Linked DNA regions of Anolis sagrei. The protein of the gene in region 3 purifies or fractionates together with the protein of the main gene of each other region. This does not show direct contact. Links are inferred from orthologs where the notes say so. Each region holds a gene or a part of one and is shown on either strand. Other genes may lie near its edges. The genes, in order: MTA2, CTDSPL2, KPNA2 and POLR1E.

The links.
Region 1: the proteins of KPNA2 (region 3) and MTA2 purify together in Homo sapiens (affinity purification with mass spectrometry; 4 studies listed by BioGRID and IntAct, with this or other methods). This does not show direct contact. The link is inferred for Anolis sagrei from reciprocal best matches to the Homo sapiens genes KPNA2 and MTA2.
Region 2: the proteins of KPNA2 (region 3) and CTDSPL2 purify together in Homo sapiens (affinity purification with mass spectrometry; 4 studies listed by BioGRID and IntAct, with this or other methods). This does not show direct contact. The link is inferred for Anolis sagrei from reciprocal best matches to the Homo sapiens genes KPNA2 and CTDSPL2.
Region 4: the proteins of KPNA2 (region 3) and POLR1E purify together in Homo sapiens (affinity purification with mass spectrometry; 3 studies listed by BioGRID and IntAct, with this or other methods). This does not show direct contact. The link is inferred for Anolis sagrei from reciprocal best matches to the Homo sapiens genes KPNA2 and POLR1E.

What each region holds. Positions count from the first base shown.
Region 1 is NC_090032.1:12,528,020-12,535,555, forward strand, and holds the start of MTA2 (metastasis-associated protein MTA2), read right to left. Parts: upstream 3,001-7,536; 5' UTR 2,864-3,000; coding exon 2,836-2,863; intron 1-2,835. UniProt on the Homo sapiens protein: May function as a transcriptional coregulator. Acts as a component of the histone deacetylase NuRD complex which participates in the remodeling of chromatin.
Region 2 is NC_090029.1:23,291,803-23,299,346, reverse strand, and holds the start of CTDSPL2 (CTD small phosphatase-like protein 2), read right to left. Parts: upstream 3,002-7,544; 5' UTR 2,726-3,001; intron 1-2,725. UniProt on the Homo sapiens protein: Probable phosphatase.
Region 3 is NC_090022.1:179,962,836-179,969,736, forward strand, and holds the start of KPNA2 (importin subunit alpha-1), read right to left. Parts: upstream 3,019-6,901; 5' UTR 2,915-3,018; intron 1-2,914.
Region 4 is NC_090022.1:152,394,601-152,402,389, forward strand, and holds the start of POLR1E (DNA-directed RNA polymerase I subunit RPA49), read right to left. Parts: upstream 3,011-7,789; 5' UTR 2,961-3,010; coding exon 2,903-2,960; intron 2,490-2,902; coding exon 2,386-2,489; intron 643-2,385; coding exon 566-642; intron 1-565. UniProt on the Homo sapiens protein: Component of RNA polymerase I (Pol I), a DNA-dependent RNA polymerase which synthesizes ribosomal RNA precursors using the four ribonucleoside triphosphates as substrates.

The DNA.
Region 1 (7,536 bases), on a different chromosome or scaffold from region 3:
GTCGTCGCATGGGGAGCCAGAGCTGACAGAGGAAGCTCATCTGCGCTGTCCCCGGATTCGAACCTGCAACCTGTCAGTCTTCAGTCCTGCCGGCACAAGGATTTAACTCATTGCACCACCAGGGGCTCCATAATACTAATAATAATACAAGATAATAATTATAGAGTATATATTACATGTAATAGTACTAATAATATTGCAGTATAGTGATATAGTACAATACAATAATATATAATACTAATATTGTGCTATGCTAATAATTATAATATATTGTATGTACATATATAATGGCGCTCCAAGCAGTCATGCGGGCCACATGACCTTGGAGGTGTCTAGGGACAATGCTGGCTCTTCGGCTTAGAAATGGAGATGAGCACAAACCCCCATTGTTGGACACAACTGCACTTAATGTCAGGGGAAAACATTTACCATTATTATGTACATATAATCATAATATTATAATATTGTAATACAATATTACAATATTGTATTGTAATACCATATAATAATATTGTAAAACAATCTAATATTACTAATAATACAATATTATAATATAATAATTATATTTTTTATATTACATGTAATTTTTACTAATAATATTCCAGGATAGCAGTATAGTATAATCTAGTTATGTATAATACTGATTTTGTGCTATTCTAACCTTCACTGGACCACACTAAATTTGACAACTTTTGGCCAGTTTCCAATCTCCCCTTTTTGGGCAAAGTCCTGGAACGCGTGGTGGCCTCACAACTCCAGGTATTCTTGGGAGACACGGATTATCTGGATCCGGCACAGTCTGGTTTCAGACCGGGACATGGAACTGAGACAGTCTTGGTCGCCTTAGTGGATGATCTGCGCCGGGAGGTCGACAGGGGGAGTGTGTCCCTGTTGGTGCTGCTGGACCTCTCAGCGGCCTTCGATACCGTCGACCACGGTATCCTTCTGGAACGCCTCGCGGGGATGGGTCTTGGAGGTACTGTTTTACAGTGGCTCTGGTCTTTCCTAGAGGGCCGATCCCATAAGGTGTTATTGGGAGACACCTGTTCAACCCCACAACCTTTGTCTTGTGGGGTTCCACAGGGCTCAATATTGTCTCCCATGTTAACATCTACATGAAGCCACTGGGAGAGATCATCCGGAGTTTTGGGGTACGGTGTCATCTGTACGCAGACGATGTCCAACTCTGTCACTCCTTTCCACCTGCTACTAAGGAGGCTGTCAAGGTCCTGAACCGGGGTCTGGCTGCTGTAACAGTCTGGATGAGAGCGAACAAATTGAAACTGAATCCAGACAAGACAGAGGTACTCCTGGTCAGTCGCAAGGCCGAACAGGGCATAGGGTTACAGCCTGTGTTGGATGGGGTCGCACTCCCCCTGAAGACGCAGGTTCGCAGCTTGGGTGTGATCCTGGACTCATCGCTGAGCCTGGAACTCCAGGTTTCGGCGGTAACCAGGGGAGCATTTGCACAGCTAAAGCTTGTGCGCCAGCTGCGCCCGTACCTTGGGAAGTCTGACTTGGCCACGGTAGTCCACGCTATTTATTTATTATTTATTTATTTACTGCACTTGTAGACCGCCGTTCTCAGCCCTAGGGCGATTCACGGCGGCTATGGTTACATCCTGTTTAGACTACTGCAACACTCTCTACGTGGGGTTGCCTTTGAAGATGGTTCGGAAGCTTCAACTAGTCCAACGCTCGGCAGCCATGATTCTAACAGGAGCAGAGTGCAGGGAGCATACAACCCCCCTGTTGCGCCAACTCCACTGGCTACCGATTTGCTACCGGGCTCAATTCAAAGTGCTGGCGTTGGCCTTTAAAGCCCTAAACGGTTCTGGCCCAAGCTACCTATCCGACCGCATCTCTGCCTATGAACCCACCAGGACTTTGAGATCATCCGGGGAGGCCCTGCTCTTGATCCCGCCTGCCTCACAGGCACGGCTGGAGGGGACGAGAGATAGGGCCTTCTCGGTGGTGGCCCCTCGGCTGTGGAACGCCCTTCCCACGGACATTAGACTAGCTCCATCATTAATGGTATTCCGCAAAAAAGTGAAAACCTGGTTGTTTGAGCAGGTGTTCGAATAGTCAGTGCAATGAGTGTAATGAACATAGGAATGGAACAATGGATGATGGATCTGGATCATGTTTTTTAGTGACGAGACGCTAGTGAATGGCTATTGTTGTTAATTGTATATTACTGTATAATGTGTTATGATGTTAACTGTTTTTTATGCTGTGTTATTGTAGCATTGAATTTTTGCTGTTCTTGTTGTGAACCGCTGTGAGTCGCTTAAGGGCTGAGAAACACTATTTCTTGTGATACACTACAGTAATTAACACACCTTGATTTCCATAATACCAGGCATGGGCAAACTTGGGCCCTCCAGGCTGCTAGGAATTATGGGAGTTGAAGTCCCAAACACCTGGAGGGCCCAAGTATGCCCATGCCTGATCTACAACGTACAACGCCAACAGGCAAGGAGTCAACTAAGCCAGGCTTCTCTTTTCTTGTCAATTCTTTTGAACCAGCCATGACATTTGCCCCCCCCCCCTTTTTCCCCCGCCCTCGTATTGAGACGCCAAGGTCTTTGCCCCGCTTCCTGAGCCTCGGCCCTGGCGCCAGGCTTCTCCCCACAGACCAGGCCCATCTCCACCGCCGCCCACAAGCGCCCCGAACTCCTCCAGGCCGAACTCCGGAGGCGCATGCGCACTCCCTCGCCGCTTCCCCTCAGTTCCCGATCTCTCCTCCCCCTCCGGCTCCTTCAGGCGCCCCTCCCCCCTCCAGCGAGCCCCGAGGAGCCCCCTCCCTTCCTCCCGCTCCTGCTCCGGCCTTACCGCCCACCCGGTACATATTAGCGGCCATGGCGCCTCCCGGACTCCGCCCGCCTCGGCCAAGCCGCCTCAGGAACTCCGGGCCCGGCCGCGCTCCATCCCCTCCCGCCTCCGGTGGCGTCGTCGTCGCCTCTCCTTCCCACGCAGCGAGCGCCGACCAAGCCTTGAGCCCTTCGTGCATTTCCGGAATCGCTCGGGTGAGCTTCGGGAATCTCCGGAAAGGATTCGTTCCTTGCCGTAGAATGGCGAAGCCTGAGGCCAGCGCTCGGCGGGCGGCGTTCGGTTTTGGTCGATTTTCGCTGTTAGGGGGCCTCGTGAATCTCCGGAAAGGATCGGCCGTTTCCGGCTATAAGGTTGCACCTTTCGTTTGTGATCGGAGCCAGAATTTTTTTCCCTATTAGAGAAAGGAACTAAGGCTTTGTTGTTCGACTTCAAGGCGTTCCCGACTTCTAGCGACCTTGTAATAGCGCATCAGTTGGAGCTCATTTGAGGCTGAGAGAGTGTGACATGCCCAGGATCACCCAGTTTTTTTCTCCTAAAGAGACTCCAGTGATAAAAAATACAACACTTACATCCTAAAGAAAATAAACATCAACATAGAATTAAAACTATTTACATTTTTATTTTTTATTGTGTCAGAAGCTAGCCAAGGATGCAGTTGTAATGTATTTAAAAACACAAAGTTAAAAACTTGGCATTGTGCTAAATTTGCCACTTGGAATACCTCTGGTGTTGTTGAGAGAAGGCCCTCCATTGTGCATGTGGCAGGGCTCAGGTCACATTGTAGTACGTCATCTGTGGTTTGCTCTTCTCCACACTCGCATGTCGTGGACTCCACTTTGTGGCCCCATTTCTTAAGGTTGGCTCTGCATCTCGTGGTGCCAGAGCGCAGCCTGTTCAGCACCTTCCAAGTCACCTAATCTTCTGTGTGCCCAGGACGGAGTCTCTCATTCAGTATCAGCAATGGATTCAGGTTCTGGGTTTGAGCCTGCCACTTTTGGACTCTCGCTTGCTGAGGTGTTCCTGCAAGTATCTCTGTTGATCTTAGGAAGATGTTTCTTGATTTAAGGCATTGGTAACTGGCTGATATCCAAACAGAGGATGGGCCGGATATGTCACTGCCTTAGAATCATAGAATCCTAGAATCCTAGAGTTGGAAGAGACCTCGTAGGCCATCCAGTCCAACCCTATTCCACCAAGAAGCAGGAAAATTACATTCAAAGCACCCACAACAGATGGCCATTCAGCCTCTGCTTCAAAGCCTCCAAAGAAGGACCTCCACCACACTCTAGGGCAGAGAGCGAGTTCCACTGCTGGACAGCTCTCCTTACAGTTAGGAAATTCGTTCTCATGTTCAGGACTTCAAAACCTTTTTCCCACGTCCTGCTGATATCGAGCTGCTTTTAGGAGGATCTTCCGAGCCGAGGAGATCCTGAGGACCACACCAAAGAGAGTCCTTGAACCTTGGTGAGGCCAGCGAAGCCAATTTCAGCAGCAAAAATATTTAAAATAATAAATCCTCACCAAAGCGGAAGAAGCTGGGACCGAGGTGTCTTTATTAGCGATTCAGCTGAAATCAGATGTATTGTAGGAATAGTTCCACTACAAGCATAGCAATACAGAATTTTACTGGCATTTTTAAAGAGAAAATACAGGTTTGAAAGTTTCAAAACTCCCTCCCTCTTTGGCTCCTTAGCAAATCAGGGAGAGGGAGGCAGGACGGAAGAGGGGCATTGTTTTGTCCAGTAAAAGTTGATTTTATTAAGAAAGGTTTTTCTGCCCTTGATGGGTTTTGGTGAAGGAAAACAAAGAGGATCGGGGCAGGGGACCTGGGGGGGGGGGGGATCAACCCTGCCCTTTGTGATTCAATCAAAGTGTCCAGATAAACTTCCTTGCCTGCCAGACAAAGCAAACAAGAGGAAGTTTCAGCTTGCTACTGTCCATGCAGAGGTGAAATAATCAAATAAGAAAGGGAGGTGGTGGTTCTCCCTCAAGCATTTCAACAGTCCTGGGTCACATTTTCTAGGGCAAAAGGCAAAGGGGAAAGGCAATATTTCATAGCAAGATACATACATTCAAATCATAAGCATTTCATAGCAACAAAACCCCATTTTTGTCCCACATTCCAAGTATATTTAATAAGAGAATTAATTTTCATGAAGAAGCCTGAAGTCCAATGTTTTAAAAGGTCTTTGAGGAAAGTTCATGAGGGAGATAGTATGTACTGAAGTCCAAGATATGCAGGCAGAGAGTCCATGATCATTGGGAAGGCTGGCAGATGAAACCCCAGCTGTGCTGCAACTGATTCACGCTTCTGGAAACTACAACTCTCACAAAGGACAGAAGTCCCAAGATCTAGCCATTTCCCAAAAGCCTCGTGGGGTCCTTGTTGTTGTCAGTGCCTTGGCAATGTGACCAAGACTTAACCCTTGTTGTGTAGTCTGGTGCCCTTGCCCTTTGCAGAACTATAAGTCACTATCCCTTATTTTTGGGGGGGGGGGTGCTCAACATCACTGCTGTCGCGCCAGGCATCGTCCCCCATTTTGTCTCTTTGCATTTCCTTTTTTCTGCCTCGGTGGAGTGTCTTGCATTTGTCCCTGTTGAACTTCATTGTGTTTTGTTGTTGTTCGTTTGTTCAGTCATTTCCTACTCTTCATGACCTCATGGACCAGCCCACGCCAGAGCTCTCTGTCGGGCATCACCACCCCCAGCTCCTTCAGAGTCAATCCAGTCACTTCAAGGATGCCATTTATTTATTTATTTATTTCTGTTATTTATTTATTTATTATTTAAACTTATATGCCGCCACTCCCCTGGGGCTCGGAGCGGCTTACAAGAATAGCTAAAATCTAACAAAGTTTAAAAGCAATTTAAAACAATTTAAAAACAACAGTATCAAACATTAAAAGCCTGTCGAAACAGGTATGTCTTACATGCCCTGCGGAAAGCTGGTAAGTCCCACAGGGCACGAACTTCAGGTGGCAGAGCATTCCAGACTGATGGCGCCACTGCTGTGAAGGCTCTGCATCTGGTTGCCATTAGACGCAAGGCCTTGACACTGGGGACTTCCAATAGATCTTGGTCCTCAGAACGGAGGGATCTCTGGGGTTGGTAGGGGGTGAGACGGTCCCTCAGATACATTGGCCCCAGACCATGCAAGGCCTTAAAGGTGAGTAACAACACTTTGTTACTTCTACCCCGCCCTTCCCACCCCAGAGGGGGACTCAGGGTGGCTTACAAAAGCACAATTTGATGCTGCCAACATCAAATTGTGCTTTTTAACAATCAGTTTCTGCACTGCAACAATAAAACCAATAAAACCGATTTCACCTAATTAACGCTCAGTGTTCGCCATCTCATAGTCCAAATTCCAATTCCACTTTGTCAGTCCTGTCAGTCCTAGTCATCTAATTGTCTTTATCTAGTTGTCAGATTGCCCGAAAGCCTGGTTTCCATCTAGCCCTTGGTCGGCCCCTCCTCTTTTTGCCTTCCATTTTCCCCAGCATCATTGTCTTCTCTAAGCTCCAGGTATTCTTAGTAGACATGGATTATCTAGACCCAGCACAGTCTGGCTTTAGGCCGGGACATGGTACCGAGATAGTCTTGGTCGCCTTAGTGGATGATCTGCGCCGGGAGCTCGACAGGGGGAGAGTGTCCCTGTTGGTGCTGCTGGACCTCTCAGCGGCCTTCGATACCGTCGACCACGGAACCACTGCTGTTTCTACTGTTTTTACTGTTTGTGAACCGCTGTGAGTCGCCTTCAGGCTTGAGATACAGCGGTATATAAGCAAAGTGGTCCACACCTTAGTTACCTCTAGATTGGACTATTGCAATGCCCTCTACGTGGGGCTGCCCTTGAAGACGGCCCGGAAGTTTCAACTTGTCCAACGGGCAGCAGCCATATTATTAACTGAAGCGAATTACAGAGAGTGGTCAACCCTCCTGTTTAAGGAGCTCCACTGGCTGCCATTTATCTTCTGGGCCCAATTCAAGGTGCAGGTTTTACCCTACAAATCCCTGAACAGTTTGGGACCCACCTACCTGCACGACCGCATTTCCGTCTATGAACTCACACAATCTCTTTGATCTTCCGAAGAGGCCCTTAGTTCGCTCCCGCCTGCATCGCAACTGCGACATGTAGGGACGAGAGAAAGGGCTTTATCTGTGGTGGCCCCCCGGCTCTGGAATTCACTCCCCAGAGACATTAGGCAAGTTCCCACGCTGGCAATCTTCAGGAGGAATATGAAAACCTGGTTATTCCAATGTGCCTTCAATGATTGAATTTAAAATACTCCCTCCCAAATTTCGCACAAATGACCTCAGAAGCACTTTATTTTATGGTTCGTGCAATGAATTCCTTCCTCAATCCGGATCTCCCTCCCCAACAGTTTCCATTGCCTAATCTCCCAGTGTTTTAAAATTTTAAATGTTTAATTTTTATCCTTAAATCTGGCCTTGCCTGTGCAATTTCTGTGTGTTTACTGTCCAATTTTATACTGCTGTCTCGTTTATTATTTAGATTTTGCATTTTATGTTTTCTAGTTCTGTTATGCCTTGTGTTATATTGTGTTATGCTTTTGTGTTATATTGTGTTATGCTGTATTGATGGGCATGGCCTCATGTAAGCCACCTCGAGTCCCCCTGGGAGAGATGGAGCGGGGTATAAATAAAGTATTATTATTATTATTATTATCTCAGGTGGGG
Region 2 (7,544 bases), on a different chromosome or scaffold from region 3:
GCCTCCTTCGCAGGCACGGTTGGTGGGGACAACAAACAGGGCCTTCTCAGTGGTGATCCCTCGGTTCTAGAACTCCCTCCCCAGTGAAATTAGATCAGCATCCTCCCTCCTGGCCTTGAGAAAAAACATAAGGAGATGGCTATGGGACCAAGCCTTCGGGCAGTAAAGTAATGCAGTACAAGAAATGATTAGGAAATAGGTACAATTGACAATAGGAATGTTTTGGATTACGATTCTGGATTGTGTGATTTTAATGTTATATTAAGATGTTTTGAATTCTATGTTTTAACTGTTTAAATGGAATCCGCCCTGAGTCCCCCTTGGGGAGATAGAGTGGAATACAAATAAAGTTTCATTCTTATTATAATATATATACGTATATGTATTAGTCTAAGAGGACATGTGAGACCTGTATTACATATATGTAATATAGTATAATGTATTATAACATAGAACAGTATGAATGAGGCCTGTATTACATATATGTAATATAGTATAATATATAATGTAGAGTAAGATATAAGAGGACGAACAAGGCCTGTACTAGATATATATAATATAGTATAATATATAATGTAGAGTAAGGTATAAGAGGACGAGCAAGGCCTGTATTAGATATAAGCAATATAGTATAATATATAATGTAGAGTAAGATATAAGAGGACGAGCAAGGCCTGCATTAGATATATATAATATAGTATAATATATAATGTAGAGTAAGATATAAGAGGACAAGCAAGGCCCGTATTACATATACCGTATATACTCGAATATAAGCCGACCCAAATATAAGCCGAGGCACCTAATTTTACCACAAGAAACTTGGAAAATGTATTGACTCGAGTATAAGCCGAGGGTGAAAAATGCAGCTGCTACTGAAAATCATCAGTAGGTTAAATGTTTTTGTGTATTTACATAAAACTGTAATTTAAGATAAGACTATCCAACTCTGATGAAACCATTATTCTAACCTTCTTTATGTGCTTACGTATCCTTCCAATAATAATAGAGTAAAATAAGAAATATAATAATAATAATAATAATAATAATAATAATAATAATAATAGAGTAAATAATGGAAATTTAATAACAGTAAGAGAGTAAAATAATAAATGTAATAATAATAATAGAGTAAATACTGGAAATTTAATAACAGTAAGAGAGTAAAATAAATGTAATAATAATAATAGAGTAAATAATGGAAATTTAATAACAGTAGTAGAGTAAAATAATAAATGTAATAATAATAATAATAATAATAGAGTAAATAATGGAAATTTAATAACAGTAAGAGAGTAAAATAATAAATGTAATAATAATAATAATAATAATAATAGAGTAAATAATGGAAATTTAATAACAGTAAGAGAGTAAAATAATAAATGTAATAGAATCATAGAATCATAGAATCCTAGAGTTGGAAGAGACCTCATGGGCCATCCAGTCCAACCCCCTGCCAAGAAGCAGGAATATTGTATTCAAATCACCCCTGACAGATGGCCATCCAGCCTCTGTTTAAAAGCTTAATAATTAATAATTACTCTATTATTAATAATAATAATAGAGTAAATAATGGAAATTTAATAACAGTAAGAGAGTAAAATAATAAATGTAATAATAATAATAATAATAATAATAGAGTAAATAATGGAAATTTAATAACGGTAATAGAGTAAAATAATAAATGTAATAATAATAATAGAGTAAATAATGGAAATTTAATAATGGTAATAGAGTAAAATAATAAATGTAATAATAATAATAATAGAGTAAATAATGGAAATTTAATAACTATAAGAGAGTAAAATAATAAATGTAATAATACATTGAGTAAAATAATGAACGTAACACAATAATAGTACAGTAAAAAGAACATAATAATAATAGAGTAAAATGTAATAAAAATAATACTAATAACAGAGAAAAATATTAAATAACCTTGACTCGAGTATAAGCTAAGGGGAGATTTTTTAGCCTAAAAAAGGGGGCTGAAAAACTAGGCTATATACACCTCCTGTCACATCAGCACTTTTAATCTTGTACCCATTGCTCTGGCCCGGCCCAGTTTTATTGTGTTTAGTGTATTGTGCCTGTTGTTTATTTTGCTTTATTCTGTTTTTAATTGTTTGATTTGCTTAGATTGTATTGTTGTGTTGTGTGTTGAGGCCTTGGCCTTCGTAAGCCGCATCGAATCCTTCGGGAGATGCTAGCGGGGTACAAATAAAGTTTAATAATAATAATAATAATAATAATAATAGGCTTATACTCGAGTATATACAGTATGTGATATAGTATAATATATAATGTAGAGTAAGTTATAAGAGGACGAGCAAGGCCTGCATTAGATATATGTCATATAGTATAAGATATATCAGGCATGGGCAACCTTAGGCCTTTGGACTTCAACTCCCACCATTCCCAACAGCCTCAGCAGGCCCCTTCCTTTCCTTTGAGAGGGAAAAGGAAGAGGCCTAAGGCTGTGAGGAATGGTGGGAACTGGGAGTCCAAAACACCTGGAGGGGAGGCCCAAGCTTGCCCATGCCTGATACATAATGTACAGTAAGATATAACAGGACGCGCGGCGCTTGTATTCTTCCAGAGCTGCCTGGGCGCTCTGCACGTGCTCAGAGGCCCCCTGCTCGCCTCCCCTTCCTCCTTCCCTGACAAGAGCCCACCCCACTCCGACTGCGGCCTAGTCCTCCGAAGAGAGCGGCCCTCAATTTACCTGAGGGGCGCGAGAGGGAGGCTTCTGAGGGAAGGGCGTCCCTGGAAGCCCTTCGCCTTCTTCCTTCTTCCCGTCCTTCCTTCCTTCCTTCGGTTTCCCCTTCCTTCCTGCCCGTCCTTTCCTTCTCCGGCTCCCCAGCGGCCGGGACTGACCGCTGCTCAGCAGCAGCCCCGGCAGCGGCCCGTCGCCATTTCCCGCCTACCGACCTGCTGCACCGCACGGAAGGACCCGGATGCTGCTGGCGCGAGGGGGGAGAAATTGAGGGAAAGGGAGCTGGGGAATGCCGGTGCGCATGCGCGGAGGGGATGAAGGGGAAATCTGACTGGGGGAAAGGCGCATGCGCGGAGGGTAAGGGAAAGCTGACTGGGGGGAGGTGCGCATGCGCGGGGGACGGGCGCGGGAAGGAGGTACTTTTTTTCCTTCCCCCTTGACAGACTGACGGGCACACCGAATGGCTCTCCGCACATGCTCAAGGGAAAGCCTCGGCCCACCTTGAGGACGGCTCCCTTCGCCACGTGAGTTTCTCCTCCACACAATTAAGCCCCAAAACTATCGAGAATCGTAGCTGGGCGAAGTTGGAAGGGACCTCTAAAGGGCATCTAGTCCAACCCCTTTGATTCTGCTTTCCTGCAGCGAAAGCACAATCAAAGCCTTCCCGGCAGATGGCCAGCCACCCATAATGATTAAGATAGACATGTGCCTATTATATATATATATATATATACACACACACACACACACACACACTCCTACATTTGGAAGGGATCTCTAAAGGGAATCTAGTCCAACACCCTTGATTCTGCTTTCATGCAGGAAAAGCACAATCAAAGCCTTCCCGGCAGATGGCCACCCACCCATAATTATTAAGTTAAACATATGCCTATGATATATACATATATATATATATATATCTCCTACATTTGGAAGGGACCTCTAAAATGCATCTAGTCCAACCCCCTTGATCCTGCTTTCATGCAGGGAAAGCACAAGCAAAGCCTTCCCGGCAAATGGGCAGCCACCCATAATGATTAAGATACTCCTACATTTGGAAGGGGCCTCTAAAGGGCATCTAGTCCAACCCCCTTGATCCTGCTTTCATGCAGGGAAAGCTCAATCAAAGTCTTCCCGGCAGATGGCCAGCCACCCATAATGATTAAGATACTCCTACATTTGGAAGGGGCCTCTAAAGGGCATCTAGTCCAAACCCCTTGATTCTGCTTTGCAAGAAAAGTACACTCAAACCTTCCTGGCAGATGGCCAGCCACCCATAATGATTAAGATACTCCTACATTTGGAAGGGGCCTCTAAAGGGCATCTAGTCCAACCCCCTTGATTTTGCTTTCATGCAGGGAAAGCACAATTAAAGCCTTCCCGGCAGATGGCCAGCCACCCATAATGATTAAGATACTCCTACATTTGGAAGGGGCCTCTAAAGGGCATCTAGTCCAAGCCCCTTGATTCTGCTTTCATGCAAGAAAAGTACACTCAAACCTTCCTGGCAGATGGCTAGCCACCCATAATGATTAAGATAGACATATGCCTATGATATATATACCTATATCCCCTACATTTGGAAGGGACCTCTAAAGGGCATCTAGTCCAACTCCCTTGATTTTACTTTCATGCAAGAAAAGCACAATCAGAGCCTTCCTGGCAGATGGCCAGCCACCCATAATGATTAAGATAGACATGTGCCTATTATATATATATATACACACACACACACACACACACACACACTCCTACATTTGGAAGGGATCTCTAAAGGGAATCTAGTCCAACACCCTTGATTCTGCTTTCATGCAGGAAAAGCACAATCAAAGCCTTCCCGGCAGATGGCCACCCACCCATAATTATTAAGTTAAACATATGCCTATGATATATACATATATATATATATATATATCTCCTACATTTGGAAGGGACCTCTAAAATGCATCTAGTCCAACCCCCTTGATCCTGCTTTCATGCAGGGAAAGCACAAGCAAAGCCTTCCCGGCAAATGGGCAGCCACCCATAATGATTAAGATACTCCTACATTTGGAAGGGGCCTCTAAAGGGCATCTAGTCCAACCCCCTTGATTTTGCTTTCATGCAGGGAAAGCACAATTAAAGCCTTCCCGGCAGATGGCCAGCCACCCATAATGATTAAGATACTCCTACATTTGGAAGGGGCCTCTAAAGGGCATCTAGTCCAAGCCCCTTGATTCTGCTTTCATGCAAGAAAAGTACACTCAAACCTTCCTGGCAGATGGCTAGCCACCCATAATGATTAAGATAGACATATGCCTATGATATATATACCTATATCCCCTACATTTGGAAGGGACCTCTAAAGGGCATCTAGTCCAACTCCCTTGATTTTACTTTCATGCAAGAAAAGCACAATCAGAGCCTTCCTGGCAGATGGCCATCCATCCATAATGATTAAGATAGACATATGCCTATTATGCCTATTATATATATATTATATCTATATATGTATACAACTCCCTTCATCAGGGCAAGAAAACGTAATCAAAGTCCTTCTGACAAAGAGCCATCCTCTAAAGGTCAATCAGTCCAATCCTCTTCTGCCAGGCAGGAAAAGCACCATCCAAGCTCTCCCAACAGATGACAAGCCAGCTATAGATATGATAGATGTGACTGAGATAGACATATGTGTATGGTATATATAATACTACAGTTGGAAAGGACTTCAAGGGGAATCTTGTCCAACCCCCCCCCCCCCAATTATTCTGCCTTCATGCAGGAAAAGCATCACCCAAGCCCTCCTGGCAGATGGCCAGCCAGCCATAGATAAGATTAAGATAGACATATGTCTATGATATATATAGAATACTGCAATTGGAAGGGACCTCTAGAGAACATCCAGTTCAATCCCTTTTATTCTGCCTTCATGCAGGAAAAGCACAATCGGCAAATGGCTGGCCAGCCATAATGATTGAGATAGACCTATGTCTATGATATATATATAGAATACTACAGTTGGAAGTGACCTCTAAAGGGCACCTTGCCGAACCCCCCCCCCCCCTTTATTCTGCCTTCTTGCAAGAAAAGCACTATTAAACCTTCCCGACAGATGGCCAGCCAGCCATAGATATGATAGATGTGATTGAGATAGACATATGTCTATGATATATACAGAATCTAAGTTGGAAGGGACCTCTAAAGGATATCCAGTCCAACCTCCTTCTGTCAGCCAGGAAAAGCACCATCAAAGCCCTCCTGACAGGTGGCCACCTAGCCTCTGCTTGTGGACTGATAGAATCCTGGAGTTGGAAGAGACTCCTAAAGGATATCCAGTCCAACCCCCTTCTGACCTGCAGGAAAAGCACAATCAAAGTCCTCTTGACAGGTGGCCACCTAGCCTCTGCTTGTGGACTGATAGAATCCTGCAGTTGGAAGAGACTCCTAAAGGATATCCAGTCCAACCCCCTTCTGACCTGCAGGAAAAGCACCATCAAAGCCCTCCTGACAGGTGGCCACCTAGCCTCTGCTTGTGGACTGATAGAATCCTGGAGTTGGAAGAGACTCCCAAAGGATATCCAGTCCAATCCCCTTCTGACCTGCAGGAAAAGCACAATCAAAGCACTCCCAGCATATGGCCATCCAGCTTCTGAATAATAATAATAATAATAATAATAATAATAATAATAATATGCCAAAGTTGGAAGAGACCCCCAAAGGACATCCAGTTCAATACCTTTCTGCCAGGCAGGAAAAGCGCAATCAAAGCACTTCCAACAGATGACCATCCAGCCTCTGCTTCAAAGCCTCCAAGGAAGAAGGTTCCATTAGATTTCACCAAGTTGGGGCACCTCTATATTGGAGAATGATGGCTCAGGGCTGTGGTATAATAATAATAATAATCATCATCATCTTTATTTATACCCCGCCACCATCTCCCCAAAGGGGACTCGGGGCAGCTTACATGAGGTAAAATTAACCCGCTGTCCTTCAAAATACACAAAACAAAGATCATTCATGACTTTCTAAAGCTACAACTTCCAGGATTCTGTGAGCCCTGGCTATTCAAGCAGTGCCAAACTGCATCTGTTCTACAGTGTCATTGGCTCCTTTGTATACATGGAAGCCATGAGAAGCATGGCTTCCATGTCGCTGTCTTGGCCATCCAAGTAAACCAGTGGTTCCCAACCAGTGGCCTGCAGACCACTAGAGGCCCGCAAGAACTAAAATATGTCCGCAAAACATTTAACATTTAAAATCTTTATTCATTTTAATGAATCAGTTGCTACACCAGCAAGTAGGATGTCGGACGAACGCTTGATGTCATGTGTCAAGTACTCATGTACTCAGTCGCATGCGTGGTCTCATTAAGAGCCACATCCACTGTTTTAACATGTTGAGATGTATTCCACACTGGGCCTGCGTATTCAGCAGCAGAGTAGCAAAGCGCAAGGGCAGATGTCTTCATTGTGTCTGGTTGTGATCCCCAGGTTGTGCCAGTCAGCTTTCATATGATATTGTTTCTAGCTCCCACTTTTTGCTTGATAGTCAAGCAGTGCTTCCTGTAAGTCAGAGCACGGTCCAGAGTGAATCCCAGGTATTTTTGTGGAGTGTAAAACTGGGGTATAAATAATAATAATAATAATAATAATAATAATAATAATAATAGCTGACATGATATGAGGATTTAAAAATCGAACTGCAAAGACTCTGGCACAAACCAGTAAAGTGGTGATCGGCACCCTGGGTACAGTGCCTAAAGACCTTGGCCTGCACTTACACACAATCGGCACTAACAAAATTGCCAGCTGCAGAAGGCCACCTTACTGGGATCTGCACACATTATTCG
Region 3 (6,901 bases):
AAATAAATAAGTATAAAAATGATAAAATAAAGGGAGCACATAATTTTGGACCAAAAACAGGCAACAGCAATCGCATTGTCTAGTTTTAAATAGTACTTCCTCTGTGCATGAGGCAGGGCATTGTGGGCAAGTATACAGGTGCGGAGTTGTTTGTTCTGCTCCAGAGTCACACAAGGTGTAGGATTCTTCTAGGTCCCTTCCAGACAGGCCCTATATCCCAGGATCTGATCCCAGGTCTTCTGTATATCCCAGATTACTGGCAGTGGGGACTCATAATCTAGTCTAAAGCAGAAAACCTGGGATCAGATCCTGGCATATAGGGCCTGTCTGGAAGGGCACCTCGGTATTGCCATTTTGCCAAGTTGTCTTTTGATCTGCCAAATCCACTTCTGAGTCTGTTCAGGGACTTCCAAGTACCCCAACCTTGGTTTACCCCTGGAGGAAGACCCTCGTGGGGGGCCATCCAGTTGGGATTTCCTGGTTTAACTGCCCAGAGGTATGCTCTTGCTGTTGCTGGGGGAACTTAAGCAGAGTGATGGTTCTCATGAAACTTTTCCTTGATTTGAGTCTACTACAGTGGTTCTCAACCTGTGGGTCCCAGGTGTTTTGGCCTACAACTCCCAAGAATCCCAGCCAGTTTACCAGCTGTTAGGATTTCTGGGAGTTGAAGCCCAAAACATCTGGGGACCCTGGGAGGAGGTGCAGGTTATTACCTATAAAGCTCTAAATCAGTGGTTCTCAACCTGTGGGTCCCCAGATGTTTTGGCCTTCAACTCCCAGAAATCCTAATAGTTGGTAAACTGGCTGGGATTTCTGGGAGTTGTAGGCCAAAACACCTGGGGATCCACAGGCTGAGAACTACCACTCTAAATGGTTCTGGACCTGCCTATCTGCGCGACCGTATCCTCCCCTATGAGCCCACACGGTGCTTAAGATCTTCCGGGGATGCTCTTCTTTTGCTCCCACCCATCTCAGGCGTGGTTGGTGGGGATGGGAGAAAGGGCATTTTCGGTGGTGGCCCCTCGTCTCTGGAACTCCCTCCCCAGGGAGATTAGGCTGGCACCTTCCCTTTCCACATTCCGCAAGGAATTAAAGACGTGGATGTTTTGTCGTGCATTCGATTAATGACTCCTATGACCTGGATCATGACCTTAATCATTATTTAATCCGAATTCCTATATTACATCACTATTCATATTTGTAAATTAAGCTGAATTAATCCTGATACTGTTTTCATGCTATTTCCTATGCTATTATACGTTTCTACCCACCTTACTGAACCACTTACCCTTTAATAATAATAATAACAACATCAACAACCACCAGTTTCGCATACTGGCCTCCTTCCCCCTCCAAAAATTAGTCTGCTGTTGCTTGATGCTTGTTTACTACTGTTATAGTGTTTTATGCTATTTTTAATTTGATATTTGCTACTGTTCTGTTTTTAATTCTATTCTGCCTGGACTTGGCCCCATGTAAGCCGCCTAGAGTCCCTTCAGGGAGATGGAGGAGGGGTAGAAAATCAAGTTCTTCTTTCATAGTATTCAACCTTATTTCTCTCACAGTTGGCAGCAACTTCCAGTCACACATTAGCTAACACATATAAAGTCTGTGTTGTTGTAGGTTTTTCCGTGCTATATGGCCATGTTCTAGAGGCATTCTCTCCTGACGTTTCATCTGCATCTATGGCAAGCATCCTCAGAGGTTGTGAGGTCAGGTTTATTCGGGCTATATGGCCATGTTCTAGAGGCATTCTCTCCTGACGTTTCGTCTGCATCTATGGCAAGCATCCTCAGAGGTTGTGAGGTCAGGTTTTTTCAGGGTAGATGGCCATGTTCTAGAGGCATTCTCTCCTGACGTTTCGCCTGCATCTATGGCAAGCATCCTCAGAGGTTGTGAGGTCATTTTTTTCGGGCTATATGGCCATGTTCTAGAGGCATTCCCTCCTGACGTTTCACCTGCATCTATGGCAAGCATCCTCAGAGATTGTGAGGTCAGTTTTTTTCGGGGTATATGGCCATGTTCTAGAGGCATTCTCTTCTGATGTTTCGCCTGCATCTATGGCATGCATCCTCAGAGGTTGTGAGATCAGGTTTTTTCGGGGTATATGGCCATGTTCTAGAGGCATTCTCTCCTGACGTTTCGTCTGAATCTATGGCAAGCATCCTCAGAGGTTGTGAGGTCAGGGTTTTTTGGGCTATATGGCCATGTTCTAGAGGCATTCTCTCCTGACGTTTCGCCTGCATCTATGGCAAGCATCCTCAGAGATTGTGAGGTCAGGTTTTTTTGGGGTATATGGCCATGTTCTAGAGGCATTCTCTCCTGACGTTTCGTCTGCATCTATGGCAAGCATCCTCAGAGGGAGACCTCACAACCTCTGAGGATGCTTGCCATAGATGTAGGCGAAACGTCAGGAGAGAATGCTTCTAGAACTTATGGCCATATACCCCGAAAAAACATACAACAACCCAGTGATTCCAGCCATGAAAGCCTTCAACAATACATACAGAGTCTACCAACAGATGTAGGTTTGAGTTATCTTGTGATTATCCAGTGTTTCATTCAGTGCTATATACCCCTGATTCACTTGGGCAGATGAATGCCAGAGGGGGAAGCTATCTCACAAATCTCTATGCTTTTTTTCATATTCTGGTGTGAGGGAAACGTCCAGGGGAATTTAGGAGGGAGGTGAACCACCTGGACGTGAAGGAACAAACCTGAGAGGGCTTTTGGGCCTAGAAAAAGGCACATTCCCCTCAAGCCTGCCTATATTTAAAGAGAAAACAGTCCATATGACCTTCAGTTTCGGTTCTAACCGTTTCTCCCCTTCTCTAAGACTTAATGAGCCTCTCCTAGTGGAAATAATCGCCCTTAATTAAAAGAAGGAGGTGAAGAAAGCGTCTTTCCGACCCACCTGGCAACAGCAGCAGCGCCTCCTTCCCGCCTCGTAGCCCGGCCTCAGAGTCTCCTCCGACACGTTGCGGCTCCAGAGGAAGAAGACGAAGGAGCAGCGGGTCGGCCCCGATTTAAATTTCCAGCGCCTTCGCTCTCTCATTGGCCAGTTCGAGTCAAAGCAAAGCCGCCATTGGCCAGTTTGAAAAGACGGAAAGGAAACTCCTCCGCCTCGCGCTGCTGGGGGAGGCGGGGCATCCCTCGAGGCCTTGAGAGTAACGTCGACCATTGTCAACCGCCTTCAAGACTCCATTTCCCAGAAGGCAACGCTGCATGTTCAGACCGTTTAACTGCCAAGGGCGCCATGGGAGTTGTAGTTTTACGCGCTCTTTAACCTTCTCTGCCAAAGAGTGCTACCAAGCTTCAATGCCCAAATACTTTCACACAGCCGCATAACCCAGAACATCAAGGCAGAAAATCCCACAGGCTCTGCTTTGAACTGAGTTATCTGAGTCCACACTGCCATATGATCCAGTTCAATATGGATTTTATTCAGCTGTGTGGAAGGGGCCTATGAATCATGTCATTTAGATCTGTTGTTGGTTTTTGAAATGTGTGATAGATTATCATAATATTAGAATAGTATCATAATATTATATAATATCATAATATTATTCTATCATAATATTATATTACAACATATAATATAATATGTATTATAATATTATCATAATATTATGTAATATAATAACATATAATAAAATATAATATAATATAGAGTATAATATAATATATTATATTATAATATAATACATATTACAATATTATCATATTATATAATATATATATATAATATTATATTATATTATTATATTATAATATAATATTATGATAGAATATTATATAATAATATCATAATATAATATTTAGAACACGGTTCAAAATGAAAATGATGTCCTAATCAATACTTGGGATGCATCTGCACTGTAGAATTAACGCAGTTCGATACTACTTTAACCCCCATGGCTCAATAATCTGGAATCTTTAGGTTTGTAATTTGGTGAGGCAAAAAATAGCTTGGCAGAGGAGGCCCAGACCTTATATTAAAAAAATATCATTGAGTCAAAGCAGTTAAAGCGGTGCCAAACCGCATTAATTTGGCAGTGTAGATGTAGCCTATGGCAAGACGAAGGTAAGCTATCAGCCACCCAGGCAAGGCACTGTTCTGTCATTCCTGGTTGATCTCAAACTTGCAAGCGCTTCCATGCATGGACGTGTAAAATATACACGTATCTTCCATTCACACGTGACAAGGAAAACAGCACTCAAGGTGGGAAACGCCTTCCTTGCCCTCCGGCGTTCTATATGCAAATAGACTGGCTGAGTGGGCGGGGCTAGAGCGGCATTAAAGGGCGGTCGCTTAGACCGAATAGGACGGAGAGGGGCGTGGCTTATTTTAAGAGAGGGGACTGAAGGCCTGGATTGCAGACAGGAAGTAGGCGTGGCCAAGCATATCCGGGCGGGGCGCTTAGAGTGCGGCGCTCAGCCGTTTTTGCCGGGTGACCCAGTGGCCTAATGGATAAGGCATCAGCCTCCGGAGCTGGGGATTGTGGGTTCGAGTCCCATCTGGGTCGTGCCTTGTTGTTTTGCAGGGAGGCCCAAATTCGTGGAGTGTCTTTCTCATTTTGATAGCAGACATCTGAGCCATCCTTCGAGTAGATCCGGCTGGAACGGATGAGGTTTTGAATTAGCCCACTGTGGCAAAGTCTTCCTCTTTGCATGCCATGCAACAAATGCTCCCAATGATTTAAGGGCCCTTCTTATATTTAAACGACTTTAGTGGGTAGTCCTCTATCTTCTTCTATATAAATAAAAATGTAATGTTCGTTTGTGGGATTAACAGAACTCAAAAAACACTGGGGGAACTGACACCAAATTTGGACACAAGACACCTAACAACCCAATGTATGTCCTTCACTCAAAAAATATTGATTTTGTCATTTGGGAGTTGTAGTTGCTGGGATTTATAGTTCGCCTACAATCAAAGAACATTCTGAACCCCACCAACGATGGAATGGCACGCAGTTCTCCCATGACCAACAGAAAATACTGGTAGGGTTTGGTGGGCAGTGTCCTTTCCTTTTGGAGTTGTAGTTCACCTACATCCAGAGAGCACTGTGCACTCAAACACTGATGGATCTGGACCAAACTCAGCACGAATACTCAATATGCCCAAATGTGAACACTGGTGGAGTTTGGGGGAAATCGAATCTTGACATTTGGGAGTTGTAGTTGCTGGGATTTGTAGTTCACCTACAATCACAAAGCATTCTGAACCCCACCAATTATAGAATTGGGCCAAACCTCCCACACAGAACCCCCATGACCACCAAAGTGGGCCACAGCAACGCATGGCAGGGGATGGCTAGTCTATATAAATAAAAATGTAATGTTCATTTGTGGGATTAACAGAACTCAAAAACCACTGGACGAATTGACACCAAATTTGGACACAAGACACCTATCAGGCCAGTGACCATCACTCAAAAAAAAAACCCACTGAAAAACCAAAAAATAAATAGCCAAAAAATAAAAAAATTACAATGCATGTGCAAAACACACATATATACACACACAAAGAACATATATGCAGACTGGGCCACAGCAACGCGTGGCAAGGGATGGCTAGTTCAGAATAAAATGGGCTTCCAACGGGGAAACGGGAGCATTTTTACACTGGGAGTTGTAGTTTTATAAGGTCTTTAACCTCGTATGCCAAATAGTACTAGACCTTACCAAACTACAAATCCCATGGTTGCATGCCGTTGAGCCAGCCAAAGTGGGGTTTTTTCGTATCAGGAGTGACTTGAGAAACTGCAAGTCGCTTCTAGTGTGGGATAATTGGCTGTCTGCGAGGATGTTGCTCAAGGGACGTCCGGATGTTTTGATGTTTTACCACCCTTATGGGAGGCTTCTCTCATGTCCCTGCATGGGAAGCTGGAGCTGACAGAAGAAGCTCATCTGCACTCTCCCCTGATTCAATCCTGTGGTATCGAAAGTTGGAGGTCAGCTGTGACCAGCAGTGCTGTAGAATTTGAAGAGGCATGGATGGAGGGCGAAAGAGAGAAACGTGCCAAGAGGAAGGCGCGTCAAGCCAACCCCAACTGGGACCGCCTTCCAGCTGGAAACCGATGCCCTCACTGTGGGAGAAGATGCAGATCAAGAATAGGGCTCCACAGCCACCTACGGACCCACCCCCAGGACACTACACTTGGAGGACCACCATCCTCGGACTACAAGGGATCGCCTAAGTATCGAAAGTGGTATCAATACTGCATTTATTTCTACAGTGTAGATACCCTCTAAAGATACTTCCAATTCAAGATGTTTCAGGGTGCATCTACAGTGTGGAATGAATTTATTTTGACACAACTTTAATTGCCAGGATTCGGTGATATGAGATCCTGGGTGTGGGAGCTTGTTGAGCCACGGCCCTGGTTCAAGTGGAGTCCAACTGCATTATTTCTGCAATGCGGATGCCCCCCAAAAGGATTTCTGCATCAGTTTATGATGTGCTTTTTTTTACTATACCTAGTACTGTTGCCACACTAAAGTTAATTTAGGGAAATTCCTACTTCAAAACAGCCTTGGCTGCTCTTTAAAAAAGGGAAAACATAATTGCATCCGCTCAATATTCCAATTAATCACTGATCCATCTGTTCAGTCCAAGCAAGAAGAAAAGCTTTTGAAACGGGAAGGGACATTTAGCAAAATGCCAGAGAGTAGTGTTCAAAAATTATTACAAGGAATACATTTTGAGCATAACCATAACCCAAATGGTGGCTGCTACAGCCTGGTAGCAACGCTATGGAGACTTATGCAATGATATGTCAAGCAATATCAATGAATGCATATCGTAGCCATATATGTATGTTGATACATATGGCAACCTTAGAAGGCTTTTCTAGATAGGGTAGTCTCATCAGTTCCTTCCTCTGAAATACAGCAC
Region 4 (7,789 bases), about 28 Mb from region 3:
CAAAGGGACACATCTACGGCAAACATTCAATGCCATTATACAATGAACAAAGACAGACAGTACATAAACAGAGGTAAAGGCTTCCCATCTTTTTCCATCTCCTGCATCTGGAGGCTGTGCTCAACTCCAACCACGGGGTGTGTATGCTGTCGCTCCATCTTCCATGCCGAGGAGCTTTGTTGTCCTTTAGTCACTCTTCCAATAGAATCACCCGCACAGGTGCCTTTTTTTACCTCCCCGCCAAAGCAGTACCTATTTATCTACTCACATTGCTGTTTTCGAACTGTTAGGTGAGCAGAAGTTGGACTGATGGTTGGGAGCTCACCCCAACCTGGGCTTGAACTGTCAGCCTTTCAATCAGCAAGATTTTCTACAGCTGGCGGTTTAACCTGCTGTGCTAAAGCCCGCCCCACAAAAAACTCAACAGAAAAAGATGACTATCCCAAATCAATTTCCGTTTGTAATTTTATTCAAGTTTAGGATTAGCTTCAATGCAGATATTCTAACTCAAGTAAACATACAATTACATCTATTTCTGATGTACAGACACACACATATATATTACCTGCATAGAGTATTGCACTTCAGGGCTCCTGCACCAAAATTATTTCCTACATAAGAAAGTCTCTCTGTTTCTGCATTCTAAAAAAGAAAAAAAAGAAAGATTAATGATTTTTTTGGGGATAAAAATAAGTTTTAAAACTAAAGTAAATGCTCCAAAGGCTCAAAGTTTTTTCCCCACCACAAAATGGGAAGCCATTGGCTTCAAGCCTTTTCAAAGTACCCTAAAAGAAAGTGGAATCTTCATGTCAAACAGCCACACAATGTCAATCTATTTATTTTCTTCTCCTCACTTCCACTGCAGTTGATGCAAAACATGTAAAGAAATAATACGAGGGTGGGTCAAATAGTAATGCCTCCATCGCTCTAACTTTTATTTCTTTCACAGCTATTGAACTATGTGTATATGATATAACAGAGGTAACCTTACTCTACTGATTTAGTCTTTTCGTTTTCCAATTGACTGATTAGAACCATGAATCTGAACGTAAAAGAAAGAGCGGTCATTAAATTTCTGGCAAAAGAAGGTTTTACACCTAAGGGAATCCACCATTGCTTGAAGAATGTTTATGATTTGCCCCCTTCTGACTTTTACCTGTTTGGACCTCTGAAAGACAACCTATGTGGTTTCAGATTTAAAAACATGGATCACAAAGCAAAGCTCTGAATTTTTCCAAAATGGGTTTGATGCCTGGGTTGAATAATGGCAAAAATGTGTACAAATGGATGGTGACAGTTCAACTATGAACTGTAGCGACTGCTGTTATATGACCATTCATAATGTTTTTATGACACAGGAAGCAAAACCTTTTGACTCACCCTTGTACAATGGGAATGGTATGTCTGCACATGTCATTTATTTTAATCCATTTTCCAGACATGGATACTGAATAAGCAAATTTCTGTTTTTTAAGTTATGTCTTAAGGTACCCAGATTCCATGCTGAGCGCATTTTCTGTGACTTTAAGGTAAGCATCAGGAAGAGGAGGAATGTCCTGTCGCTAGAATATATAACAGGTAAGAATACTTGTGTGTGTGTGTGTATGTGTATGTATATAAACACACACATACATATATATATTCATGCACAGGCCCCGGTGGTGCAGTGGGTTAAACTGCTGAGCTGTGAAACTTGTTAACCGAAAGGTTAGTGGTTTGAATTGGGGGAGCGGGGGGAGCTCCCATTGTTATCCCCAGTTTCTGCCAACCTAGCAGTTCAAAAACATGCAAATTTAAGTAGAGCAAATAGGTACCACTTCTGCGGGAAGGTAACGATGAAAATTAATGAAAATTATTGGTGAGTATTTCAATTTCTAAATCCCCCCCTCCCCCGCCATGCAGTCATGCCATCCACATGATCTTGGAGGTGTCTACAGACAATGCCGGCTCTTTGGCTTGGAAGTGGAGATGAGCACCACCTCCCAAAGTCGGACACAACTAAACTTAATGTCAGGGGAAACCTTCACCTTTACTTGAGGCCATATCTGTGAAACTTAAATCTGCCATTTAAGGCTACAATCCTATATCCATCGAGGTGAAATAAATATCACTGAACACTGTATTTCTTGCCTCTGAAGAGACATTGACAAAATTGTTCCATAACAAAACTTCAAAATCTAATAATAAAATCATTTGAGCTTTGTGTAACCCTCTCATGTTGTTGTTGTTCATTCGTTCAGTCGTCTCCGACTCTTCGTGACTCTCATAAGTTTACCAAATAAAAAAGTGGGATAGCTGAGTAAGTAAGCAAATAAATACAATTCCTGTTCACCAGTCTATCAGTCAATTAACAAAGCAAGCTTGCTCTATACCAAACCTGCTTACCAAAGTTACTTTCTGCTTCTTTCTCGGGTTTGTGGTGTCTTTGTTTCTGTATAGGTTGAAAGTCATATTTTCAGAACTCTTCAGTTTGCCATTTGTGAACTGAACTGTGCATGAGTGAGAAAACAAAGGTAAGAAAAATTGTAACACCAGCATTTTAGCCTTTGTGAATGCTTTGTCATGCTTAAACTTAAACCTCTCCCCCCAGCATCAACTGCTGCTCTGGGCCAGACTGAAGAGAGAGGGGGACAGGGACAGTTCCACCTTGTCTCCTGCATATGTCATCAGTTGGGGACCTCTCTCCCAAGCACCAACAAGCCACAAATCCCAGGATCCCATAGCATTGAGACATGGCAGCTAAAGTGGGGCCAGGCTGCACTCCAGGCCTAGAGATCAGGGCTTATTTACTTCAATGACCCGGCCACGTGCTTGAGCCTTTGCAAGGGAGCCCTGGGTGCAAAGGCAAGACCAAACCAGGGAAGAATCAGCACTGAGAGCCTTTCTGGCCCCGATCCCTTACCGAGAGGGGCGCTCTGTCCTTCTTGGGGGTCCCCCCGGTAGCACCACCGAGCCTCCATGGCCAAGGATGCCTCTGTTTCCCCGCGTGTGTCCAGCTGCAGGAAGAGGAGTGGCTTTGATCCCAAGCAAACCCCTTCCGCCTGCGAGGCTCACTCCACGAAGCCTCTGTCGCCACCTGCAGGCAGGAAGGGGGAACTGGCTCGAGTCTCCTTTCCTCATATTTACATTGACAAAATGTAAACACCATGCAGGGGCAAACAGTCCTTTAGGCTGTTAGGAATTGTGAGAGTTGAAGTCCAAAACACCTTGGTAAGGGATCAGGGCCAGAAAGGCCAAAGTTTGCTCATGCCTGATCTACACTGTAGAATCAGTGCAGTTTGATCATGCTACAATTGCTATCCTTCAATGCTCTGGAATCATGGGATCTATAGTCTAGTGAGGCACCAGTGAAGACCATCAACACCGAAATACAACACCGCCTGAGCTCTGCGAGTGCAGCATTTTCCCGAATGAAGCAGAGAGTGTTTGAGGACCGGGACATCCGTAGGGAGACCAAGGTGCTTGTTTATAAAGCTATTGTCCTCCCAACCCTGCTATACACCTGCGAAACGTGGACTGTCTACAGACGTCACATGCAACTCCTGGAACGATTCCATCAGCGCTGCCTCCGGAAAATCCTGCAAATCTCTTGGGAAGACAAGCAGACAAATGTCAGCGTGCTGGAAGAAGCAAAGACGACCAGCATTGAAGCGATGGTCCTCTGCCATCAACTCCGCTGGGCCAGCCACATTGTCCAGATGCCTGACCACCGTCTCCCAAAGCAGTTGCTCTACTTTGAACTTAAGAACGGAAAATGGAACATTGGTGGACAGGAAAAGAGATTTAAAGATGGCCTCAAAGCCAACCTTAAAAACTCTGGCATAAACACTGAGAACTGGGAAGCCCTGGCCCTTGAGCGCTCCAGCTGAAGGTCAGCTGTGACCAGCAGTGCTGCAGAATTCGAGGAGGCATGAGTGGAGGGTGAAAGAGAGAAATGTGCCAGGAGGAAGGTGCATCAAGCCAATCCCGACCGGGACCGCCTTCCACCTGGAAACCAATGCCTTCACTGTGGGAGAAGATGTGGGTCAAGAATAGGGCTCCACAGCCACCTACGAATCCACAAGGAAACCCATCATGGAAGACCATCTTACTCGTCCAACGAGGGATTGCCTAAGTAAAGTAAGAAGACCTTTGTAAACTATAACTTGTTGGGGGAAGCAACTTTCTCAAGCCTCCTCTATATGATGTTTGTCTGTTTTGTAATACATATACCTGAAGTATATGTCTTACTTGATTTGAAGTTTCTTTATCTCTATATACCGAAAGAGCAATGGGAGGGGCTGCAAGTCACATGACTGACTCAGTGATCGTTTAGACCAGGGGTCCTCAAACTAAGGTCCAGAGGCTGAATGCAGCCCTCCAAGGTCATGTACCCAGCCTTCACTTAGGGTCAGCCTAAGTTTGTAACGACTTGAAAGCACACAACAACAACAACAACCCTATCTCATCAGCCAAAAGCAGGCCCACACTTCCCATTGAAATACTAATAAATTTATATTTGTTAAAATTGTTTTTCATTTTAATTATTGTATTGTTTTTAAGTGGTATTTGCACTACAAATAAGATATGTGCACTGTGCATAGGAACTCATTCATGTTTTGTTTTTGTTTTCAAATTATAATCCAGCCCTCCAACAGTTTGAGGGACTGTGACCTGGCCCTCTCTTTAAAAAGTCTGAGCTCTGTTCAGGTGTAAACAGGATGACTGTTAGGGAATGTCAGTTGAGGAATGAATGACTCTTAGAGAAGTGTGTTAAGCCTTGAATGAGCTTCAGTATAGAAGTCTGTAAGAGTTCAGAAGCTCATCTTGATGTCGAACCTGAATTTGAGAGGCTCTGCCTAGGCAGAGACCGGCCAGACCCAAAAAGAGGATCTGGAACACCTGGCGAGACAGCAAGCACCAATGAAGATTTTCTCTAATTTTTCCCAAAATAGTCTCACCAAGTTGAAGGAAAGCCACCGAGATGTTTATTTCATTCCAGCTGGCACGGATGACGACCGCAGTAATCTGTCCAGGAGCTGACATAACTCACTGGGCAGAAAAATACAATATTTATAGCCTTCAGATTCAAAAGTTCCCATGCCCACCCTGAGCTGGTTTTGTAATGAGTGGCTGTGACGTCAGCAAGCCAGGAGGAGATCCAAGGAGTGCCCTGGCCCTGCTTTATCTGCCCAGCCAATGAGGTGGAAGGGAGGCAGGCAACGGGAAAACAATGAAGAAATGTCTAGTTGACTGGATTAAGAATGTCGAGTGTTTACCAAATGACCTGGCGATAGCTTCAGGCTCTCAAGCTTGGTCTGAGTTATTTTTCTGTTTCTTGAATTAACATTTTTGCCTGGCCCTGAAAGGCCAGGTCCTTTGTTTTTACTATCGCGCAATATGGAGTTCATTGATGAAACAGAGATGAGTTTTGGAGATCCAGATGTGGCACAGCAAGGATGCAGTGACAAATCCCTAGTTCCTCGTAGATGAGGAAATGTCCTTGGTGTTGAGTGATCCAATATGTCCACAGACTCCCTTAATCTGGATGACCTGGCTATCAGCCCTCCGATGTCCAGATATATAGAGTCATTTATCTATTGTCCATGCAAATGGATCTGGTTGAATCCTTTGTTAGGGGATTATCAGCTCAGGCAGTTTGGAAACTCCAAAAGCCATGAGTTGCTGGTTTATGAAAAGGTTGCTTTCCTTCATATTTTCTTATATAGACATATATACATATAGGGAATGAGGAATGGGGCAAGGGAACATACACAGAGTTCACAGGAAAAGGGGGAATCATGCAGGGTCTAAGGGGAAGTCAAGTCACCCCCCCCCCCCAAGTCCATAAAAATTTGGCAAGAGTTTATAGAAATTCCTATAAAGCTCATGAAAGTTCATAAGAACTCATAAGAGTTCATGGGGGAGGGGTGCATGGAAGCTCAGGGGAGCACTGAGTAGTCGGGAGTCCATTCATAAAAACAGAAAGAGAGATAGGGATTATGGGATCCATTCAGCCTGGTGTCCTTGGCAAAACCATGAATTCCCTGATTTTGAACTATCTTTTACAGAGCCCTGGAAGTGGAGGGTCACCTCCAATTACCATCTTAGGAAATTAGAAACTGTTGAGGTGTGTGTTTTATTTGAAAGTAAACTCTTATTAAAGAGAGCTGTATAAAACAACATAGTTTATTAAGGAACTGTTAAAGGTTATAAGTTCAAGATACAAACTCTTTGAAACGTTACTGAAGTTTTTAACCCTTGACAAGAAATGTGCCTGTATCTTTAAATACGTGAAGTTATCAGTAAACAAAACTTGTTGTCTTTAATAGAAGTCTGGTTGCATCATTTTCTGTTGAAAGTGTCATACCAAAACAAAATATCTACATGCCCAGCGACCATCCATTACCAAATAAACTCTGCTATCCTAATTAGATTGTGATCCTAACAGTTCATGATTTATACCCCGATGGTCAGTGATCCTAACAGGTCATGATCCATTATCGCCAATATAACTCCCATGATTTCATCGCATTGAGCCATGGTAGTTAAATGAAGGTCAAACTGCATTAATTCTATGATACGGATGCACCCTTGGGTAGGTTAATGTTACTTGCTAAAACCTTTAATGGAATGTATGTGAGAAATCCCACTCTTGTCCCTATTGTTAAGCTTTGGAAAAATCCTTTTGAGTATTTGAAAACCCAATTTCTTATCCACTTAACTGAAAACCCTTCCCTTCCCTTATTATAATTTTGTCTCATCACCCTTTCCCGCTCTTCAAACCTGGCAATTTGTTTTAATTGCTTTTATCATTTATTATTGTTGTTGGCACTGAATGAATGCCTGTTGTGAAGCCGCCCTGAGTCCCCCTCCGGGGGTGAGAAAGACGGGATACAAATATGCGAAACAAATAAATAAATAAGTTATATGGCAATGTGGACTCAGATAAGCCAGTTCAAAGTAGATATTGTGGATGATCTGCCTTGATACTCTTGAGTTATATGGCTGTGTGGAAGGGCCCTGAGACAAGGAGTGCGCAGAAATTGTTTGGCCATGTCCTTCCTTTGAAATATAGCCTACAGGACTTAGTACTCCACCCAAGTACCAACCTGGACGGCTTAGCTTCCATGAGAAAAGCAGTCCCCAACCTGTAGGCCTCTAGGTATTTTGGACTTCAGCTCCTAGATTTCCTGGCTATTAGCCAGGCTGGCTGGGGCTTCTGGGAGTTGAAGCCTCATATCTGGAAGACCAAAGGCTGGGAACCAAGGAAACAGAGTGAAGAGAGGGGAGGCCAGGGGACAGTTCCACCTTGTCTCCTGCACATGTCATCGGTTGGGGCCCCCTCCCCCCAGCACAAAGGCGGTCCTAGGTAATTTTCAACGATAAGTAAACAGTATTTTGCCCCCCCCCCCAACCAATCACTGATATATATTTTCTGTTCATCATGGGAGTTCTGTGTGCCATATTTGTTTCAATTCCACCACTGGTGGAGTTCAGAATGCTCTTTGATTGTAGGTGAACTATACATCCCAGTTACTACAACTCGCATATGTCAAGGTCTATTTTCCCCCAAGAGCGCCTCAAGAGCACCCCTGGGCAAAATCAACTATACTGCAAATGCTTACTTTGCATAATAGGTTGAGCCGCCCCTGCCCCAGCACTAACTGCTACTCTGGGCCAGAGTGAAGAGAGAGGGGGCCAGGGGACAGTTCCATCTTGTCTCCTGCACATGTCATCAGTTGGGGGGCCCTCCCCCCAGGAAAAACTGCCGCTCTGGGCAAGAGTGAAGAGAGGGGGTCCAGGGGAC